Linked DNA regions of Astyanax mexicanus. The protein of the gene in region 1 purifies or fractionates together with the protein of each later gene. This does not show direct contact. Links are inferred from orthologs where the notes say so. Each region holds a gene or a part of one and is shown on either strand. Other genes may lie near its edges.

The links.
Region 2: the proteins of tdp1 (region 1) and xrcc1 purify together in Homo sapiens (affinity purification with mass spectrometry; 4 studies listed by BioGRID and IntAct, with this or other methods). This does not show direct contact. The link is inferred for Astyanax mexicanus from reciprocal best matches to the Homo sapiens genes TDP1 and XRCC1.

What each region holds. Positions count from the first base shown.
Region 1 is NC_064421.1:7,932,835-7,941,031, forward strand, and holds the start of tdp1 (tyrosyl-DNA phosphodiesterase 1), read left to right. Parts: upstream 1-4,667; 5' UTR 4,668-4,890; intron 4,891-6,996; 5' UTR 6,997-7,005; coding exon 7,006-7,639; intron 7,640-7,756; coding exon 7,757-7,800; intron 7,801-7,981; coding exon 7,982-8,037; intron 8,038-8,197. Other genes in the region: efcab11 (EF-hand calcium-binding domain-containing protein 11), read right to left, coding at 393-488, 3,431-3,496. UniProt on the Homo sapiens protein: DNA repair enzyme that can remove a variety of covalent adducts from DNA through hydrolysis of a 3'-phosphodiester bond, giving rise to DNA with a free 3' phosphate.
Region 2 is NC_064408.1:133,564,140-133,571,899, forward strand, and holds the start of xrcc1 (DNA repair protein XRCC1), read left to right. Parts: upstream 1-4,435; 5' UTR 4,436-4,583; intron 4,584-6,776; 5' UTR 6,777-6,794; coding exon 6,795-6,845; intron 6,846-6,929; coding exon 6,930-7,022; intron 7,023-7,760. Other genes in the region: sialic acid-binding Ig-like lectin 13, read right to left, coding at 1-208, 422-778, 1,644-1,758. UniProt on the Homo sapiens protein: Scaffold protein involved in DNA single-strand break repair by mediating the assembly of DNA break repair protein complexes. Negatively regulates ADP-ribosyltransferase activity of PARP1 during base-excision repair in order to prevent excessive PARP1 activity.

The DNA.
Region 1 (8,197 bases):
AATGTGGTTTTACAGCCACCTACTGCACTTAATTTCAGTTAACTAATGCATAGTCATCTAAATTTTTCAACTCCTCACTCTCCATTTTGCATTGCATTGTGAGATAAAAGTGTCCGGAGTATCCACGCTGAAAAAACGACCAGTTCTACGTGTGTATTGTGGATATTTGAGTATATTAGTTAGTATTAGTAACTAATATGCAATTGGGACACACCCTAGGGGTGTTGGATCACACAATATCCAGGGTGGTGGTTTATCTCCAGGACCAGGAATAAGCACACATGGTCTAAAATGTTTAAGAATTACTGTATTCTACACACCACTACCAGACCACCACAGCCCAGATTATAACCTATCAAATGTCGCTCTCTAGGGGCTGCACCAGGAACTACCTTTGAGGGCTTGTATCCAAACAGCATAACAACTGCAATTTTAAGATCTTCTCTGGACAGGTAACCTTTCTTCTCCACATCACACTGCTCAAAAACCTGAGGGAAAACAAGAAAAACCAAGATACACAAAACATGAGAGTGTATACAAAGCTAGCATATGGCTTTGATACTCTACAACCCAAACTTCCTTTGATTTGCAGCTTTATTATATAAATGAATCTAATATAAAAATAATAATGAGCTTTATTGATCACCAGAACCCTGGACATGATGAAAGCATAGCTAAATATAAACAATTATACAATTATACTTTATTGGTAACAAGAGGTTGAAACAGAAATATAAAAGGTGAATTTAAGGTTACAGAAGTACTGATTATATATATTATTATTGGTCAGTCGTGCAAAAGAGAGCAATTCAGCCAGATATATCCACCCTCACATCACTTTCCACACACACACACACACACACACACACACACACACACACACACACACACACACACACACAGAGAAACTGTCTATACCCTTTTCAGCAATATTCCACTAAGTAATGTATATTCTCTACTTGGGGTGGGTGATATGGCTTTAAAAGAATATCACAATAATTTAGGGTATTTTCTGCAACAATGATATTCTTACCAATATGAAAAAAAAAAAACATTTTTCAGGTATATAAGTGTTTCAGGTATAAAAATAAAACTGTGTCATTCATTTGTTAAAAAAAAAAAAAAAAAATATATATATATATATATATATATATATATATATATATATATATATATATATATATATATATATATATATATTATATATATATTTATATTTGTAAGTAAAGTTAACTTACCAAGACCCTGACTTTGTATAAAATAATAATGTAAGACAAAAATGTAACAAAATGCAACAAAAATAAAGCAATGTACCAACAAAAATATATCATAAAACTAAAGTGCAGCATACAAACTTTAAACAAATAATTAAACGTAAATAAAACAAATACAAAGAATGAAAAATAAACTGCTTTAAACAATATCACAATATCATGATATGATTTTTTATATCATTTTTTGGGCGATATTATTGCGTATGATACGATATGACAAACCCCTATTCTCTAACGTTACCTCAGTACCTGCTGTGATAATGTATGACCTATATTTTTACAGTATGTCACTTATCTCTGCACTTTATTCTCACTATGCACATTTTTAGACTGTACTGTGTCGGTCACACGGTGTTACAATAAATCTCCTGTTTCCTTTGTAGCGTTACTGTTACTTTTATGGTGCCACAGCGCCCATTATGGTGTTAGCTACCATGCTCTCAGTATTGTGTAACGTAACTACTGTGTTATATATAGTGTAACAGATTTCCTCATGGTGTTAGCTACCATTACTTTAACAATGTTACTAATACCTAATATATATACCTATATATATATATATATATATATATATATATATATATATATATATATATATATATATATATATATATATATATATATATATTCGTAATTATAACCACACTAATATTATGCATTGTGTAGTGTTACAATCAACTGTATGATGTTATTGTTAATACTGTTGTGCTACCATATGGTGTGAATCTCCTTTAATGCTTACACTGTGTAACTTACTTATTATTACATTAATTTTACAGTATGTAAACATGTGTTAGCAAGCTAGCTAACTAGCTAATGTTAAAATAAAGTGCATACCGATAGCTAACTTATATTGAGAGATTTCCCACTGCTACTCAGAGCCCGGATAGCTCAGTCGGTAGAGCATCAGACTTTTAATCTGAGGGTCCAGGGTTCAAGTCCCTGTTCGGGCGATAGCTTTTTCTTCAAGAAAACTATAATTTTAGACTGTAGTTAACATTATTAGTTCACAAAAGAAAGCGAACATCGGGCTTTTTACAACATAGCCAATTAGCCTAAATATTTAGTTAAAGGTACGGTGAGAAGCTAGCTAGGCACTAAACAAAAATAAGCAAAAGTAAACTTGTCTGTTATTTACCTTGCTAGATAAATCCAATGAAAAAAAAACTAAACACATAAAATAAAACACTGTACTATAATTTGAGTAACAAGACTTAAAACTGTTGTAGCTAGTTAACATAACTGTTATCAACAAGCATATTTAAATTAAATACAGCAACAGTTATTTTAGCTAGAGTAAATGTTTTGCACAGTGACACTATTATACATTATAGTACAGTTTTTTTTTTATTTGAGCTTTTTTTATAGAATTTAGCTAGCAAAGTAACCTAACATGCAAGTTAATTAACAAGTTTACTTTACCTGAGCATAGGCTTAGGCTATTAACAATCAACCTTTATTTTGAATCACTTTAAATAAAAAAATATATATTTTTAAATAACAGAGAATAAAAGATTACAATAGATAAAAAATAAAATTTGAGGTTATATTGATAAGAAATTAAACATAAAAAGAAGATAAAATTATAAAATAGAAATCTGTAAAAATTAAGCTAAAACAAACTTACATAGTACAATTTAAAAAATAAATAATAATAATAACAATAATAATAATAATAATAATAAATATACAAATTAACAAGTAATAATACAAAAATAATGAAAGAAATAAAAAACTAAGATAAGAACTAAAACAAGAAATAAAGGCTGTCTGAAGGTGGTTTAAAATGGTTTAGTAAAACCAGTGAGCTGAGTTTCCTTTAGTGAATTTCAGCTCGCTGGTGCTTTATAGCTAAAAGCATTATTATTAGCAAGCTATTCTGAAGATAATATTCTTTTTCTAAAACTAATTCTAGAACTAGTTAAGCTAAATACTTTGTTCGGACTGAATTTCAGCATTACTGAAGCATGAATATACTTACAAAACACCTAAACAGTGTTTATTCAACAACAGCAACATAAACTAAATATTTTAAAAGTCATAAGTCAGAGAAGTGGCTAACTAGTTAACTAGCAGCTAGGTTGGTTAGCACGCTAGTTAGCTAACTAGCTAGTAAGTTAGCGTTACAAAGTTCTGGATAGCGCTGAAAATCTTACCCAAATAAATCTTTTTCTCTCAGTTTTGGTTAGTATCTCTCTGCCAGCACCCCGAACTCCAGACATTTCTCCCTATTATTGCTAGTTAATAGTGTATATAGTAATACTATAGTAATATTTTACAGCTGTAGTACAGTTAGCTATTAGTTAGTGTGCTCTAAACCAGGTAACTAGCATATAACTTTACACCTTAGCCTGCCTTGTATACCTTCGACCAGTCTTCGTTGCCTAGCAACCGAACAGTCGTTTTTTTTAGACAATAAAAGTTCAGTGAAGAAACGTTTAGTAAAATAAATTATTTAAGCTAATAAATAAACAAATAAATAAATAGATAGGCTGTGATCATTCCCTTAACATTTGTGTTACACTTTTGGTAACAAGAAATTAAAACAGAAACGTGAAACATGAAAGTTGAATTTATGATTCCAATATTATTTATTATCTAGATTATTCCATAATAAAATATAAAAAAAAACATAATAAAAGAATAAAAAAAAGAGTCTCAATTTATTAAAACGTTTTCTTAATTTAATACAGCTTTGCTTCAGTTTAGTGTTGAGGGTATTCTTGTAAACTAAAGGAAAATGAGTTTAATTACTAAACAAAAGATTTAGTTTTTAAATTAAATTGTATTTAATGGAGGGGATGATAAAATGTCATATAAAAGCACACCTTGTACAGTGTACACCTTGTACAGTTAGCTAGTTTAGTACAAAATACATTAACTACTATTTAAATTTAATGCTCTAATAAAACCATTCTAATAACACCTATACGTATGAAGGCAGTACAATAATACTGAGGCATGTTCCCTTAATTTAATAAAACGTTCCCTTAATTTAATAAAGCTTTGAGGTTGGGGGGATTTTTTTTTAATGTAGACTAAAGAAACAGGAATTGAGTTAATTATTTGAAAGTATTTTTTTTTTGTTTAGCAAATGCAACCTTTTATTAAATTAAGGGCATGTTAAACAGACAAATAAAATCAACACTTATTATTATTATTATTATTATTATTATTAGTATTATTAGTATTATTAGTATTATTAGTATTATTATTATATTATTATTAAAACCAACTGAACAATGTATTACATTTATTAAACCATTTATTAAATCGTTAAAACGTTTTATTAAAACAAGGAAACGTTTTAAATACCTGAATTATATTTTTGTATATTGAAACCCAGTGCTCCACATTACACACAGACATACGCTTCATATAAAGAGGACTTTTATTTTGAAGAGCTCTGAGTCCAGCGTGTTGATTCAGACCTAAACAGAAGCAAAATCTGCATTGGAGTTCAAAACAAGCGTAAAATAAGCGATACAGAGGCTTAAACAGGCGAATTTTTGTTATTTTCTGTTATTTTATTTGGTGATAGTGCAGCGTCTGCAGTGATTACAGGTTATTATATGAGGTGGAAATAGCCCTAAAGCTGCAGAATTTTCCCGCCGGAGTAAGTTAAGTGTGTGTGCTGTGGGCTGGGGGCTGTGTGTGTAATGCTCTGCAGATGTTGGTGTTTGTGTTTAGGTAAAGCTTACTGTGTAGGAAAACTAAACTATCTAATTTATTAGTAAATAAACTAAACTATTTACATGTGTACGACTGTATGAGTGCACGAATGCTTTTTTTATGTACTAAACCAGATAACTTAACTAACCTAGCAGTTGTTACGTGTATTTCTCTGTAGCTTTTTAAATTAAGTACTTAAATGTAATTAAAATGTATACTAGTGAATTAGCTACAGCTCGCCCAATAAGCTAGCATTAAATCTCTTAAATTACAGCCTGGCAGCCTACTAATTAACATAGTCAGAACTGAATTATCTTTAGTAGTTTCATTCGTTTTAAATTTTATGCATTGGCTGGTTCATGGCCAACAGCCCTCAAATAGTGTTATGTGCAACAAAACATTTAAAAATAAAGAAAAAAAAAACAAGATGTCCATTGTAATGGATGTAGGGTCCAAAAGGGTTATGTCCTGTCCTCCGGAGTGTTTACTGTGTTTAAACTTCTCTAATACATCACATCGTATTTAGCTCCTAAAAAACACATATATAGGTTAGTGTTCTTCCCCATAGAATGAGTGAGGGAGCTGATCTGTAAGTTAGTTATTTTATGTAACCTAGAGTAGATACAATGATATATTTCTAACCATTTTAAATTTTAAATTTTATGCAAAGATTTCTGTTTTTACAGAATAATGAAAATTAATGTAATATTAATTTATTGCAAGAAATTATGGAGCATTTGTGTGGAGCAACTGCCAGATTCAAATAATGCCAAAAACTGAAGAAAAAAAAAAATAAATAAATAAAAACAAACAAAAAAACTGCCATTCAAGATTTTTGCAGGGCATTAAATATATAGGATTGTTTTTGTAGGTATCAAATATTGTTTTTTGTATATATGTATATTAGGGCTGGACAATATGGCAAAAATCTATATCAGGATAGACTGCTCTATGCCCATAAAGAATGTGGTAATGAATGAGTCACCCATTATTAAAAAACAAGGTGGGAAAACAAACTTAAAAACATAACAAAAAAATAAAAAAGGCAAAGTGAAATTTACAATATGTTGTAATAAATATAATCTCAGAATAATAATAATAATAATAATAATAATAAATGATAAAAATAAAAAAATAATAATAGGCTGGGGTTGCTACGTGGTTGTTTTTTTATGGGGTTACTAAGAGGTTGATATGATATCTCAGGGGTTGCTATGCTGTCTGAGTTTGCTTTTTATGATGTTTCTTAAGCAGTTGATAGGTGGTTGCTAAGAGGTTGCTTTTTGATTGCATGTGGATGGCATTTTCTAAGTGGTTGCAAGGGTATTTAAATTGTTGCTATGTTGAATGTAAATATGTGGTTAAAAGTTTACATTCACATTGCAAATCTTGTGTTAGTATTTTGGACAGAGAATGAAGGCTTAATGTACAAATTCTATACTATATATATATATATACAGACAATATTCCACATAAGTGTCGATTGGATATGTGAAAGTTGGAACCCCAAACCTTTCAATGTCTTCAATGACTAAGATTTAAAACAAAGTCCACAAAACAAGTGGAATAATATTAAAATATATATAAAGAATAACAGCACAGTGCTGCATTGTGCAATGCACTAATGAGTGTATAGTGGTTGGAACAGAGAGTGTACCTGGGTTAAAGCCAATAAAATAACCTTGTTGGGACTCCACAAGGTCATAGCTTTGTTTGGTATCCACTGACTCTTTAAATAGTGAGATTATCATTTCATTCTTAGTGTTCTGTGTCTCTGCTTGTATGGGTTTTGCAGAACTTTGTGTAGAACTTTTTTCTAAATTTATTATAATAATTTTAGACCCATACTGCTTATTGACAAGCAGCTTAATATGACTCACCATGTTCCTGTCTTCATAATTATGATTTAGTCTCTTCAAATTAAAAGTTGACTATTGTTATCTTGTCCACCCACTCTGATTTGGTGTAACACACTGTAGAGACAAAGCTGCTGTAAAAGTGCGTTATTTTGAATAACTTGGTGGTCATGTCTGCTTTTTTGTTTCTGCAGTAGAACAGAATGTCACAGGAGAGTCAACACGGCAAGTGGACCCTGTCCGACAGTGACGAAGATGACAACATAGTACCTCCAACACCCCCGAAAAAGCCAGACATCAAGCTAAACCCCAAGCCAAATGTGAAGCCAGACCCAGAGAGCAAAGCCTCTACGGTTAACACTGTTCCAAAACCCAAGCCTGAGCCCAAATCACAAGTTAATGTGAAACCTAAGCCACCAGTTAAGACTGAGAAAATCCCTCCCACCTCCTCCCTCCCCATGGGCTCTGAGGCCCGAGAGGCAGCGCACCTCAGCCAGAACAATCCTGTAAAATATGAAAACAGCTCTTCTCCAGCTCTGAAACGCAAGAGAGAAACCGACGAGGGAGGCTGGAACCTCTCTAGCAGTGATGATGATGATGCAGCTCCTTCATCTGCCCCTAAAACAAAGCCTAAACAGCCGAGCTCCAGAAGTCCACCGAGGAAGAAGACCGAGGAGAAGCGTCCGCCGAGCCCCCACGGTGCTAATTACTATAAAGAGGAGCCCAGCGATTTCTTTGAGGCCAACTTATCAGCTATGAACGACACATACCGCTTTTATTTAAACAAAGTGTCTGGTATAGAAAAGAAGTTCAACACTGGAGCTTTGCACATCAAAGGTACCAAATGTGTTTTCTCACAGAAATATAAAATGTATTTGAACTTAGTTTAAGGTAGTTTAATTAATTATAAATTAATTCATTAATTAACTAATTATTTTTTCCCTTTTAACTCAGAAATACTTTCCCCTATGTTTGGCACGCTGAAGGAGTCCGTCCAGGTAAACAAATAATAAATATATATCCATATATGATGTGTGTTTTGGAAATTATGTGTACAAAAGTAGAGGTAGGAATCACAGGGTGTTCACAGACATTTATATTGTACCTTATATAGTGTACAGACATATAGTGTACCTTATACTTACTCTGGCTCATCATCATCATCTCTGTTTTTTACAGTTCAACTACTGTTTTGATATTCCATGGATGGTGAAACAGTATCCTCCAGAATTTAGGTAATAATATTTTCTTACTGCACTTTATTACTATTACTAAATGTCTAGCCATATTCCCATCCTACACACTGCACACTGTTATTCTTCTATATATTTAGGGCTGTCACCATTAAAGCGTTAACACACGCAATTACTTTGAAATTTATATTTTTAACACAAA
Region 2 (7,760 bases), on another chromosome or scaffold:
AGCAGGTTCAGCACGGCTCGTTCCTCCCAGCGCTGCTGGAGCTGCCGACGTCCCTGCGGCTGCAGCACCACCTGCCCGGCCCTAACCGAGGTCCAGCGCAGCACCGGCGCCGCCTCCCGACAGGTGTGTACCACAGAGCACACCAGAGACACGGGGACGCCCTCGGCCAGTACACCCGGGCACTGCAGGGATGGAGCAGGGGGCGTGTCTGGAACAGGAAACGGAGGGGTATAATTCCATATATGTATTTACCAGTGGCGTGCGGTGAATATAGTGGGTACCACGCACTTATTGTCACCCCTTCTCTGAAGGGTTAGAAGGTCCTCACTGCACACCACTGGTATTTACACTGATCAAGCATAACATCGTGACAATCTCTAATATAAATGTGATTATTCAGTGTGCGAAGAGTCAGACTGACCGGTCACGCTGAGGGTCACGCGCTGGTCCTTGAACGAGTATCGGTCTTGCCCGTCTATCTCAACCCGGAACATGTAACTCCCGGCGTCCCCCGTCCCCAGCAGCCCGATCTTCAGCGAGCATTCGTTCCTCTCCAGAGAACCCACGATTCTGCTTCTGTTCACGTACAGAGCGTCCACCTGCTCCCACTGCCGGCTGTTACACACCAGAGCCCCGCCCCTGAACCACAGCCCCCTGATCTTACTGGCCGGCGCTCTCGGGCCCGGGTACGAGAAGCTGCAGGGGACATGAACGCACAGCCCGGATACACCAGCGATAGAGGTGGGAACGTTCACCGACCAATCAGAGCCGCAAACACCTGCAGATACAGAAGGAGGAGCCGGGGATCAGCAACCCTTTACCTTAGTGTTCCACTAAAGACCCGCCCCCAAACCTTTTATAGAATCCCTCCCCTCAGTGTTCCACTAAAGACCCGCCCCCAAACCTTTTACAGAAACCCTCCCCTCAGTGTTCCACTAAAGACCCGCCCCCATACCTTTTATGGAAACCCTCCACTCAGTGTTCCACTAAAGACCCGCACCCAAACCTTTTATAAAAACCCTCCCCTCAGTTTTCCACTAAAGCCCCTCCCCCAAACCTTTTATAGAAACCCTCCCCTCAGTGTTCCACTAAAGACCCTCCCCCATACCTTTTATAGAAACCCTCCCCTCAGTGTTCCATTAAAGCCCCTCCCCATAACTTTTATATAAACTCTCCCCTCAGTGTTCCACTAAAGCCCCTCCCCATACCTTTTATAAAAACCCTCCCCTCAGTGTTCCACTAAAGACACGCCCTCAAACCTTATATAGAAACCCTCCCCTCAGTGTTCCACTAAAGACCCGCCCCCAAACCTTTTATAGAAACCCTCCCCTCAGTGTTCCACTAAAGACCCGCCCCCATGCCTTTTATGGAAACCCTCCACTCAGTGTTCCACTAAAGACCCGCCCCCATACCTTTTATAGAAACCCTCCCCTCAGTGTTCCACTAAAGACCCGCCCCTGAACAGTTACAGCCCCTCCCTTTAGTGTTACTGCAAAGCTCTGCATCTCAAAATACAGCCACTCTGTTTAGTGTTTCTACAGCCAAACAACATTGAATAAAGTGTGTTAATCGATTATAGATTAATAATATTTAATTAGTCTAGAGAATATATTTGTATTAATGTGACTGAAATGATTGCTCACCCCACACCCAGAGGAACATCAGAACAGAACCACAGCAGAACCTCGCAGAACCCGACGGCAGAGAGCTGATCCCCGAGCAGAACATCATCATCATCCTCATCAGCTTCATCATCATCAGCTTTATCTTTAATATCCTCACCACACACTGCACCGGAGAGACGCCGGACTGCTAACTGACCCGTAGCTGCTGGAGTGGTGGTGTGTTCTGCTGAAGGTCCGCCCCCTGTGTGTGGGTGTGGCCTGCAGTGAGTGGGCGTGGCTGTTGTGGTGTGCAGTTTAATATATAACTCTCCTCTCTCTGTTTCACTGGAAACCCCATAGTTAGTGAGGAAAGGGGAACCGAGAGCAGCAGAAGAACCTGAGGTCAGCTAAACCTCGCCAGCCGCAGGAAACAACGCCACGGCAACACAGCACTGAAACACAGCACGGCAACAAAACAGCATGGCAACACAATACAACAACATAGCACGGCAACACAGTACAACAACGCAGCACATACCACGAAAAGACAGTGCGGCAACACAACACGGCACCACAGCATAACAATACAACACAACACTGCAACACACCACAGCATAACAATACAACACAGCAACACAGCACGGCAACACAATACAGCAACACAACACGGCAACACAGCAGGGCAACACACCACAACAACACAGCACATACCACGAAAAGACAGTGCGGCAACACAACACGGCAACACAACACTGCAACACACCACAGCATAACAATACAACACAGCAACACAGCACGGCAACACAGCACGGCAACACAACACGGCACCACAGCATAACAATACAACACAACACTGCAACACACCACAGCATAACAACACAACACAACACTGCAACACACCACAGCATAACAATACAACACAGCAACACAGCACGGCAACACAGCACGGCAACACAACACGGCACCACAACACGGCACCACAGCATAACAATACAACACAGCAACACAGCACGGCAACACAACACGGCACCACAGCATAACAACACAACACAACACTGCAACACACCACAGCATAACAATACAACACAGCAACACAGCACGGCAACACACCACAGCACCACAGCATAACAATACAACACAGCAACACAACACGGCAACACAGCACGGCAACACACCACAGCACCACAGCATAACAATACAACACAGCAACACAGCACGGCAACACAGCACATACCACGAAAAGACAGTGCGGCAACACACCACAGCAACACAGCATAACAATACAACACAGCAACACAGCACGGCAACACAGCACGGCAACACAACACTGCAACACACCACAGCATAACAATACAAAACGGCAACACAACACTGCAACACACCACAGCATAACAATACAACACAGCAACACGGCAACACAACACGGCACCACAGCATAACAATACAACACAGCAACACAGCACGGCAACACAGCACGGCAACACAACACGGCAACACAACACTGCAACACACCACAGCATAACAATACAACACAGCAACACAGCACGGCAACACAGCACGGCAACACAACACGGCACCACAACACGGCACCACAGCATAACAATACAACACAGCAACACAACACTGCAACACAGCACGGCAACACACCACAGCACCACAGCATAACAATACAACACAGCAACACAGCACGGCAACACAGCACATACCACGAAAAGACAGTGCGGCAACACACCACAGCAACACAGCATAACAATACAACACAGCAACGCAGCACGGCAACACAATACAGCAACACAATACAGCAACACAACACGGCAACACACCACAACAACACAGCACCACAGCATAACAATACAACACAGCAACACAGCACGGCAACACAATACAGCAACACAGCACGGCAACACAATACAGCAACACAGCACGGCAACACAGCAGGGCAACACACCACAACAACACAGCACATACCACGAAAAGACAGTGCGGCAACACACCACAGCACCACAGCATAACAATACAACACAGCACCACAGCATAACAATACAACACAGCACCACAGCATAACAATACAACACAGCACCACAGCAAAACAATACAACACAGCACCACAGCATAACAACACACGACAGCACCACAGCATAACAATACAACACAGCAACACAAGACTGCAACACAGCACGTTTTAATTTTATTTTATTTTAAAGTTTTGGGACACTACAACTACCTGTTGTAGAATATTCCAAATGTTTCAGATGGGGTAATGTGCTACGGTAACAGGACTGAGTGAAAAAACCAAGGGACACAACTAAAATGTGTATTTTAACTTAAATATTAGGGATTTATTATGAAAAACATATTTTTAAAGCATAGATTTGGAGTCACACAACAATGCAAAAAAATACATTCCTGAAGGATTTTAATAAATATATTTCATGGTAAAGTTTATAGTTAGAGAGGGGGAGAATGGGTAAGTGTTGTAAGTAGTTTTTATTAATGTTTTAAATTATATATCTTACTTTTGCAATAAGGTCAATTAGGTACAAGACACTATGCTTAATAATAAAATATATTTTAAAGTTATTTTGTGTTTATATTTATAGATGTATTTCCTGGGGACAGAAATGGCACAGATTCTGAGGAATTTGCCATATATAATAGTTTTATGCTATATTGCTTATTTTCTCGGTGCTTTGCTGTCTCTCGCCAACAGGTGGCGCACAGAACTCTGGGTCGCGCTCCTGTCGACTTAGGGACCCTCCAGGCCCTGTGTTCACTTCCTAGTGTGCACTACCTAGTGCTCAGTGGCAGTAGCGGATTGGAGCGCGCCCCGCTGGAGGCTCGGTTACGGCGCTGCGGGCGGAGTGCTGCTGCTGCTGCTGATTCCTGCGTTACTCCGCGCGCTGAGAGTTTATCGGTCATTCATCGGTATTTTATCGGTATTAAGAGCGGGATCCGGCGGCGCGCGGGCTCATGCTGTAGGTATGTTGCGGGTTTTTGCGTGTTTGCGGTTTATCCTGTATTTTAAAGCTCTAATTAGCTGTGTGTTATTGTTGCTGTATTGTTATAAAGTGTTGTTAGCAGGTTAGCTTAGCATTGGCACTGTTAGCGGTTTGTTCCGCTGTAGCTGTGATTTATTATAGTTTATTAAGTTTTATTTATGATAAGTAATGATGTATAAAATACTTTATATGCTATTTTTTAATTTAGTAAATGTGTGTGTTAATTTAGAGTAAAGTTTGCTTCTTTTTAGCTGCCTTCTTCTTGGAACTCTCCGTTCCACCTTAAATGCTATATCAATTGCATTCAAGCGCACGATGCTTTTTAAGGTGGAACGGAGATTTCCAAAAGCAGTAGTTTAAAATCAGGATTTTTGTAGTTAATTTTTTTAAACAAATTAAGTTTTAATCTATAAAACCCTATATTTAATTTAATTTATTCATAATTAAGCAAATGTAATTAATAATAAAAAGAATTCCCTTTCAGCAAAAATTAACTACAAAATCCTGATTTTAAACTGCTTTTTTTGGAACTCTCCGTTCCACCTTAAATAGCATTAGGCGCTTGAATGCATGAATGAATGAATTTAAGGTGGACTGGAAAGTTCCGAGAAGACTAAAACTATAGATAAAAAGAGGCAAACTTCATTCTAAATTTTGATCGTAACCTTTAAAAATGAACATGTAACACACAGACTCATTTATATATGATAGATACGCATAAATAACACTTATAAAACATTATATAAACAAAGATTATACCCCTATAACCTACAAACAAATCATAGCTAATATATTCAGCTAGCTTAAGCGATTAGCCTCTATAATAAAATCTAAATACAATGTATACACTAATGTATACACAAATTACATATTAATCCATAATATCCTTTTATAAAAAATTAAGCAAATGTTATTAATATAGTGGCTAATACTTTATAAGCTGTCTTTATACATTGTGTCTATAATATGTTGTGTTTGTAGGTTAAAGTGGTATAAGCTTTGTTTTTATAATGTTTTATATGTTATTTATGTTTATCTAGCATATATTGACTGTCATATGTTTATATATTTTTATATATGTTATCTTCTAAATTTAGAGTGAAGATTTTTTTTATATACACTTTTTATGTATAGTTTTTGCTTTAAATGCTGCATCAGTTGCATTCGAGCACATGATGCTATTGAAGGAAGGTGGACCGTAGAGTTTCAAAAGAAGTAGTTTAAAATCAGGATTTTGTAATTAAATAATTTAAATCTGTAATATCCTTTATTTAATTTTATTTATTAAAAATTAAGCAAATTCTATTAATATAACGGCGATTATTTTAAGCTATCTTTATAAATTATGTTGTGTTAGTAGGTTATAGGGGTATAAGCTTTATTATTTTATAATATTTTATTTTATGATAAGTTACTTTATTAAGGTTAGCCTATCTTGTTAATGTATAGGAAAGTTTATTTATTTATTTATTTATTTTTTTACACTTTTTATCTATAGTTTTTTTGTTGGAGCTTTTCGTTCCACCTTAAATGCTGCATCAGTTGCATTCAAGCGCCTGATACAATATAAGGTGGAACGGGGAGTTCCAAAAGAAGTAGCTTGAAAATAGGATTTTGTAGGTTAATTTTTGCATTAAAGTGTATACATGTTGACAGTTTCATTTATAATATTCTTTATTTTAGTTTATTTAATAAAAATAAAAAAGTGTAAGTAATACAACAGGTTAAATCTGAATGTAGTAGAAACACCAAACAGTGTGTTTAAAAGTGTGTTTTAATACAGAATATTCCTCATTTCATTTTAGTTGTAAACTTTGTTTTTATTATGTTTTAAAAGGATGGTAATTCATCTCTTAGAAATGTAGTTATGTCATGTGTAATTTTGTTTTAAATTAGAGTGAAATGTGCTTCTTTTTACGTGGGTTCATATTGGAATGTTCTTTCCACCTTAAATGCTGTAGCCTTAAGTGTAACTCCAGCACCATTTAAGGTGTAAGGGAGAGTTACTAAAAGGTAGTTTATAATAATAATTCGTTATGTAGATTTAAGTATTAATAGGCGTGTTTTTAAATCCAGGTATAGTAAAATAATTTTTTTATTTCAGAATTTCCATCATTTTTCTTTAATTATCTGAAAATAAAGAAAACTAATTTAATATCTAATATATTTACAGGGTTTCTGAGCGTGCAACATGCCGGAGATTAAACTGAAGCACGTGGTTTCCTGCAGCACTGAGGACTCAGTGAGTAAATGTTTATTTACTGTAGAAATGCGTCTGAATTATTAGTGAGCTTCTGTAATAATTTATATAATTTCTGTTTCTCAGACTCACAAGGCGGATAACCTGCTGAGCTCCGACACGTACAGGAAGTGGAAATCTGCCCGACCCGGGGAGAAGCAGACGTCCGTTATCTTACAGGTTTGAAACCTAATCTCGTCTGCGACGGGAGACGCTACGCTAATGCTGCTAACAGCGCTAACGCTGCTAGTGTTCTAGATCACTAGTGGAACCATTTATAACTTCAGCTTGAAAGAGTGGAGCTAAACTAATCTAACCTAAACTGCTGTAGGCTGAGTGGGTGGAGCTAAACTAATCTAACCTAAACTGCTGTAGGCTGAATGGGTGGAGCTAAACTAATCTAACCTAAACTGCTGTAGGCTGAATGGGTGCAGCTAAACTAATCTAATCTAAACTGCTGTAGGCTGAATGGGTGGAGCTAAACTATATTAATCTAAACTGCTGTAGGCTGAATGGGTGGAGCTAAACTATATTAATTTAAACTGCTTTAGGCTGAATGGGTGGAGCTAAACTATATTAATCTAAACTGCTGTAGGCTGAATGGGTGGAGCTAAACTATATTATCTAAACTGCTTTAGGCTGAATGGGTGGAGCTAAACTATATTATCTAAACTGCTTTAGGCTGAATGGGTGGAGCTAAACTAATCTAATCTAAACTGCTTTAGGCTGAATGGGTGGAGCTAAACTATATTAATCTAAACTGCTGTAGGCTGAATGGGTGGAGCTAAACTATATTAATCTAAACTGCTGTAGGCTGAATGGGTGGAGCTAAACTATATTATCTAAACTGCTTTAGGCTGAATGGGTGGAGCTAAACTATATTATCTAAACTGCTTTAGGCTGAATGGGTGGAGCTAA